Linked DNA regions of Arabidopsis thaliana. The protein of the gene in region 2 interacts with the protein of the main gene of each other region in a pairwise test. Each region holds a gene or a part of one and is shown on either strand. Other genes may lie near its edges.

Evidence for each region.
Region 1: the proteins of TRY (region 2) and bZIP43 interact in binary tests that used the Arabidopsis thaliana proteins (3 or more experiments, as listed by UniProt).

What each region holds. Positions count from the first base shown.
Region 1 is NC_003076.8:15,537,617-15,541,149, forward strand, and holds bZIP43 (basic leucine-zipper 43), read right to left. Parts: upstream 1,274-3,533; 5' UTR 1,187-1,273; coding exon 689-1,186; 3' UTR 525-688; downstream 1-524. Other genes in the region: AT5G38810 (F-box and associated interaction domains-containing protein), read right to left, coding at 2,990-3,474. UniProt on the Arabidopsis thaliana protein: Probable transcription factor involved in somatic embryogenesis. Acts as a positive regulator of BHLH109.
Region 2 is NC_003076.8:21,580,867-21,585,058, reverse strand, and holds TRY (Homeodomain-like superfamily protein), read right to left. Parts: upstream 2,446-4,192; 5' UTR 2,147-2,445; coding exon 2,083-2,146; intron 1,790-2,082; coding exon 1,702-1,789; intron 1,268-1,701; coding exon 1,099-1,267; 3' UTR 816-1,098; downstream 1-815. UniProt on the Arabidopsis thaliana protein: Transcription factor. Involved in epidermal cell fate specification. Negative regulator of trichome development, including endoreplication, by lateral inhibition involving intercellular interactions.

The DNA.
Region 1 (3,533 bases), 6.0 Mb from region 2:
TGCTTTCTAAGCCAAATCTTGCAAAACCTCAGTCCATGCACTACCAATACAAGGTACTAAAATAAAATAAAATACAAGGTACTAAAATACTACAGATAAAAGCTCTTCTTTGCTTGACATAATTAGATTTACGAGAGTTTCACACACAAGTACACAACCATGTAAGGTCTTAATTGTTTTTGTTTGCGTTAGATTTACGTATTTGCTTTTCATATTCTTATTATTTTAATCACAATCTTAATTCTTTTCTTAATAATTTTTCAACATAAAAATGCAAATGGAAATGGAAGAAAATAAACCGTTTACGGCTGGTGTATATTTTTTTCAAAGACACTACTTAAGCCAATTTAGAAAGAACAAAATTGGTCATTATAAACGTAAAATTTTAAAGAGAAAAAGAAGAAAGTCTACTGTTAGTAATTGATGCTTGTATTTACATTTTGCAAAAATATTTATGCATGTAATTTTTTTTAAAATTATACTTCAGCAATGTGAATTTTTATCGTTTGTTATGCAAACAATTGTGAAACAATTTCTTACTTCTATTCACGGGCAACACAAGTTTGAAGAACTCTGCTTTAACAATTACTAATTTAGAGTCTTAATTAAATCTTAAGCTGAGACAGATCTCTGGATATACATTTGTTGATACATACTAGAGCCCCAAAAAAATAAAAATAAAAATCATCTATACAACGTCGTCGTCGTCTCTGATGCAAGAGAAAGGACTCTGATTCTGAAGCTGCATATCACTAATCATTTGCTTAAGCTCAGTGGTTTCCTCTTTGAGCTGAACATTCTCTTCAATAACCTTCTCTTGAGACTCTAAAACGCAGTTAAGCTTACGAAGCAGCTGATGATTCTCATCCCTAAGCCACATCACCTGTGACCAAAGCTCATCCACTTGTCTCTGCTTCCTCATACGCGATCTTCTTGCCGATTCTCTGTTAGATATCTTCCTCTTTTGCTTCCTCTCATTTATTATCTCCTTATGATTCTCTTCTGCTTCATCTGAGGTCGAGTTGTTGCTGCTGATCAAACTCATGAACTGTGAAGTGTTCACGCCAGTTTCGAAGCTGAAGAATGGATTAGGGTTTTGTCCGCAAAATGGTGAGGATGTAGGAATATGGGAAAGGTACGAAGGTGGACAACCATGGAGGCTAAAAATGTTGGTGGATGGTTGCATTATCGGTGGAGACTTGGGACGCAAGGTAGGGTTTACTCTTAGGTGATGGAAGAAAAGAAAGATTGTAGGATTTAGGGAATTGTGATGAATGTTTGGTGTGTGTGGTGAGAAGAGGTGTTCATATAGACTAGTAGGGGGACAATTGTGGACCATGGTTTCTTCATTTGGGTCAAACCAATATAAAAGCATCTAACAATCATGCAGCTAAAACGTGTATTTATATAACTTTATTTATTATTTAAAAACACGATCTATTTTTTCACCTATAAAATTATTGAACTACTTAGAACGAAATCTAAATAACTTATTTTTTAAAGCCTGTCTAAGATTTATTAGAAGTTGGTTGAAGTCTTAGGGTGAAAAATGGCTTTGTAAATGAATGATTGGGATTAATTGAGTTTTTCTTTTCTTTCAATGGCTAGGAAACAAATTGTTTTTTTTTTGTTGTGTGGAAATTTCAAATATCTTTCAACTTATTTTTTAAAACCTATCTAAAATTTATGAGAACTTGGTTGAATTTTTGGGGTGGAAAATGGTTGTGTGTAAATGAATGACTGGGAATAATTGAGATTTTTCTTTCTCTCAATGGCTAGGAAACAAATTTGTGTTTTTTTTTTTGGAAATTTAAAATAACTTTCAACTTATTTTTCTGCAAAATAGTAGATAAATAAATTGAACAAACTACTTTTATAATTTGGTCAATTTTTTTCAATTTTGAGTTGAATGAATTAAATCATTTTTTAATAATTTATTCATCTTAAATAGTAAACGTTTGGAGAAATTTCAAAATGTCCATTTTCTAATACCGTACCACCACTTTTTGAAAATGACTTCTATCTAAAATCTTTTAAATATTTTATTATATTAAGCTTGGTTTAATATATATACATGTAAAATTACACATTTAGAAAAAAGTAATTAAAGCATATAATATTTTATAGAAGTGTCGGATTGACACATATAGCAATCATGCGTAATTCTTCATTTTCGTCGTATTTTGCTAAAAGTTCGACCTATGTAATTAGATTCTGTTAGGGGAAGGGTGGTGATTTTGAAATTTAACCTTTTGAAACCCAAGAAACATATGGGCTTTTATAACCATCCAAATTTATATTATCTTTAATTTTTTTTTAGTGTTGTTAGAAAAAAAAAAAAATATTACGTGATGGACTTAATTAGTACTAGAGGAAAGCATCTCATCAAGAAGAACAGAAGAAGCATAAACAGACCTATGAATGAGACCTTGAAAAGGTTGAGAGAAAACAAATTTAAGAAGCTAAGTGTCCAATTCTTTTGCATATTTGATGTGTTCGTTTAGTTTTAATAAAGCATAAATCTTTGTTCATAAGATCTCAACAGAAAATGAACTACAAATCTCTAATCAATCTACAGTGGTATTCATATCACATGACTTTCTTGTTTTAACATCAATTCTGACAATTCAACTATTCAATCATTGACCACATCGGTTTCTTAACAATCAAGTTATTGGATATAGAGAGCCCTCTTCACCTAGGTAAAACCTCATAGGCCTTTTGATAACCATACAAAAAAATATTAGTTTGCTCTCACTCTACGCCAACAGGGTGATAAAGCTCACACGTAAGTAACCTGTAAATGACAAGTAACACTCTTAACCAAAATAGCTTGACTCGTTGGCTTGGCTTTCAAGATAAGATCCTCACTCTGAGTTACCTAGTAAATCGTACTTGTTCTGCAGGAGGATTGCCTGCTTGTTCTTTACATGTCGACGTTGTTGTGGTTTTGACTTGAGTTGCTTCGAATCGTCAATACTAAGATCCTCTATATAGTCAAAGGCAAAAACATTGCGAAAATATTGTCGTTTCTAATCCGATTGACCTTAATCTTCGGCAAGGAGTAGATATACTGTGACCATTCCTGTTTCTCAACATCCTCTAGAACCCACACACACAACTCACGGGGATGTCCATCACCAGCATCACACTCCAATTTAGTCACACCTAATTTACCCTTGTAGTTTATAAATTCTCTATGAAAATTAGAGAAGTCTTTTCCATCAAGAAACTTGAATTTCTCAGACCTAACATTAAAGGAAACTACTAGAAAACACGATGTCCTAGCAAAGTAATACAAAACCCCATTGATGGATAAGGCTCTACCATAATAAGGTTCATGGGTTAAGGGACATATCATCTTCCTCCACTTCAAATTTTCAGTTCCTAATGTCAGAATATAATGAACCCATTCTTTATTGAGTCTCTTGTTCATGCACAAAACCTTATGTTGCTTGCCAATCGGATCAAACCCTAAAAAGCTTCTTGACGTTTTGTAGCCATTTGTTCAGGTAAGCTAACATAGCGTCCTG
Region 2 (4,192 bases):
AGATTCTTTATTTCTTAAAACGTTTATAGAAAAATTAAGTTCATACTTCATACTTCATAGTCCTACATATATATAGCTAGTGCAAGCATGTAACACCTAATATTTAAGTGATTGTGAAAATAAGTGTTCATAACTTTTGGTTAGAATTGGATCGGGGTTTTTATTTTAGTTACATTTTTTTTAAAGTATAGATACATTATGTCATTAATTCTGTAATAATTTTTTTAAGTAGTTTCTTCAAAATATACTAGTCAACTATAACTAATGGAGTATTTCTTTTTTTTTTTTTACTATTTAAAATTATTGTCATTAGTTAAAATATTACCCAACCATTTTTGCACAAATGATCAGTTTCCTCTTGATAAGTTCTTTCAAAGGACTAAATCTAATACACAATTTTTTTTACTTTCTAATTACTGATGTATTAGAGAATATAAAATATATTAGAGAATATAAAATATAAAATGTTACTATATATAAAATTAAACTATAAAATATAAATGTATTAGAGAATGATACAATTTGTAAAACTTTTATATGTAATAAATAATTCTCAAATTTTTAAAATTACTACTTTAAAAATAAATCACGGGATGGGTAAAGAAATTACAGAACAGATTTTATTTTGGAATTGAGTTATATGGTGGATGTATTTGAATCAATATTTATAAATTTTTAAAATATTATTAATATGCTGTTTTAGTAAGGGTTAAAACTTCAGTTTTTTAACAATTGTCTCATGGATTCGTTGTATAGCGTTACTTAATAACAATTATAAACTGTAAAATAAAAATATTTTATAAAAATAAAATTTGCAAGTTTTAATATATATTAACTTTAAAAAGTAAATTATACCGCGATATACCGCGGATTAAAATCTAGTTGTGGATATAAAAGTCGTAGACGAGAAAATAAAAAAACCTAACCGCATGGATTAAAGTTGATTACCAAATGAAACCTATACTATAAAAATTATAAATGAAATAACAACAAAAAGAAAACAATAGATGATGAATTCTTCAAACTAACAAGAACCACTACTATACATCTATTATAATTTTTTTATTTTCTTTTTTCGTTGGCTTAAAAACAAAAACACTAGGAAGGATAGATAGAAAAGCGAGGACGGTGAGGCTTGGTATGTTTGTGGGAAGATGAGTGAAGCTGGCGTCGTTTATCAGCAAAGCCTTCACTGTTTCTCATTATCCAATATCTCTCTATCTCCTCTGGTTGTCTTCCAGGAACTCTTCCTGCTATCAAATCCCACCTAATTCAAAAGAAAAAAAAAAACATTTTTATCCCAAGCATTAGCATTTATATTTTCATAATAAAATATAATTTGTCAGTTCAAAAATTTCCATTTTTGAGCCAGCCAAGCATTTATATACATGAGTACGTACTGATAAGAATAGTAAATTAGGTTCTTATTTTTATCTCTATATATATGTGTGTACATATATAATTTAATGAACGTGATAGCTTTAATTAAATGTCTTTTTTTAGAAAATTAGTGGACACCATGTGCTTCCCCTACAACATGGTACACTGTACATATGTTATAAAGTACATATGCTTAAATTAACGTATGTAAAATTGTATATACCTGCATATTAAATTGTTTTAGCTAGACATGTCTAAAATATAAAATTTATTTTATGCTGGGATAATCTTAGAAAAAGTAGAAGAAGAAGAAATTGTTACCTATCACCGACAAGTCTGTACATTCGAAAGATGAGATCTTCTTCTTGTTCAGTCATGTTGATAAACTCCCATTCGATACTGCTCACTTCTGCAAATAACAATATTAAACCAATTAAACTCAAAACAATATTAAACTAACAAAAAAAGACAAATATAAACTTTTTAAAAAGATATTAATTTTTGTTAAAACTAGAAACTAATCTTGATAAGTCTTTTAGTCAGCACGAGGTGTAACTAATTTAGAAGTAATTAAACGTATCCCTCGTTTTAACGAATATATACAAAGAGAATATGATCCTAGCTAGGAACTAAATTTATTTTCAAGATGTTTAATAAAATTGGATTTAGGAAATAGAAAATATATAGAGAATAGAGAGGTACCTTCAGAGTCATGGAGGGCGATTTTGTGTTGCTTACGACGGCGACGACGGTCAGTGTTATCCATTACTATTGAAGTAAGAAAAGAAAAATAGAGAGAAATTAATGTGATGAAATTTTGAGTTTGGAGAATGTAAGGAAAAAAAGACGTGAGAGATGAGAGTTTATAGAGCGAACAAGAAGAAGAAGAGGGGAGGAGAGAGAAGGAAATGTCCAACGAACGGCCTTTGCAAAACTAATAGTAAGAAGTGTTGTGTGGTCTTGTTGACCTCTTACCCTTTGTGTAGACTTGTCGTTGACACTCAAATACACATGGAGATGAAGTCTTTTATTGGGATTTGTAAGTATTTTGAAGGCTAACTTTGTTCTCATTCGTAGATCCTAACAATTTTTTTTTTCCATTTATTCAATTTTTCTAAACCTACTATCTTTTTAGAATAATGGGATTTATTGATTTTTATTTGGCAGATGCAAGTTCAACGATGTTTTAGTTATTGATTTGTTGTTGTTCTTTCCATTTTTGTATTCAAGTCCAATTTGTATTTCTAAGAAAATTAGTTGTTATTAGGTTATTAGTTTTTCAAGTTTTTTTTTCAGGGTTGGACATACACACCAAACCGTACCGAATAAAAATTCTTGAACCAAAAATAAACTTATTTTTTTTTCCATATAGTAACAAATTAGTTTCACTATATACACTAAAATGAATCTAATTCGAACCTTAATCTAGTGCATGAAAATGAAACAAAATCTAATCGATCAAATTTATTAAAATTGTCCATTGTGTTTGTTATTAAACGCTATGTTTGAGCCAAAACACATACATATTTTGATAGTCATCATTGTCACTACAATTAGTTATTTTATTTTGATAGTTATTATAATGTAGGAATAAGTTAGATATCTTACAACTTTACTTAAAAGATAACGTCACCCAATATAAAACATGGGAATAATATTTATATCAATATATATAGAAAATACTTTTTAATATATTAATTAGATAGTTATTTATATTATTTTATTAATATTTTAAATAAACCAAACTAAAATTTATTTTAATTTAGAGAAATATTATTAAAATCGAAAAAACCAAACAAAACGGAAAATCGAAGGCCTATACCTAATATTCCCACTTAATATAGTACGTATGTTAATTAATTCATTAATCAACATGTTCATATTTTCATTCGTTATACAAGAAGTCTCATTCCCGATTGACTTTTCTTTCATCTCCACGAAGAGGTTGAAACAGAAATTTTTTGGCACAATAAAAAACATGATTCAGATTTTATCCCAAAATCACACAATGTTTTTAATATAATAATTCCACTTCTCCGAATAATTTAACATTTTAACCCCTGTTTTTTAATTCTACATTTGACATATGTTTTAATTCTAGAACAGTGACTAAGACATTACATACGACGCTGTATGGCAACTCCTTACACACGCGATTTAATGAGTGCTTCTGGAGAAATTCAATCTCTCACACATGATACAACCAAAATCCCTGATTTGCGTTTTCTTCGAAATATTTAAATCTATTATAAATCTGAATCGACCCATTAAACTAACGTATTTAATTCGAGTGAGAAACATCATATATAAAGTACGCTTCTCAATAAATTTTGTAAGAAAGTATACAATTACTATCATATTCTCACGAAAGAGATTTTCAAAATATAAAGTACCCTACCAGATAATTCATAATTGGATAAAAGATTAAACGGAAGAAATCTGTAGTCTACGGCGAAAGACATCGTGTGAGGCGAGTCATGTGATGTATATCGCATCATCCTCATTGCATAGAAACTGTGTATTATGTGATAGATTTGGAATTTTTTTAATAGGAAGCCTAGTTGGTAAAATATCTCTTTACTCGAAGCTTAAATACAATATAGCAATATAAATGATTTTCATAAACTTTTGATAAACAAATCAATTCGATATCGAAGAATGCATCAATGAAAATGTGTCTTTAGTTTGGAGCTAAAAGAACGAAATTGGTTTGCATAGCTAAACTAATGTCTAAAATTCTGGTACAAAAGGACAAAGATGTGATTACCTTTTCTATTATTTGATTATATCAACAACAACAAAGATGTGACAT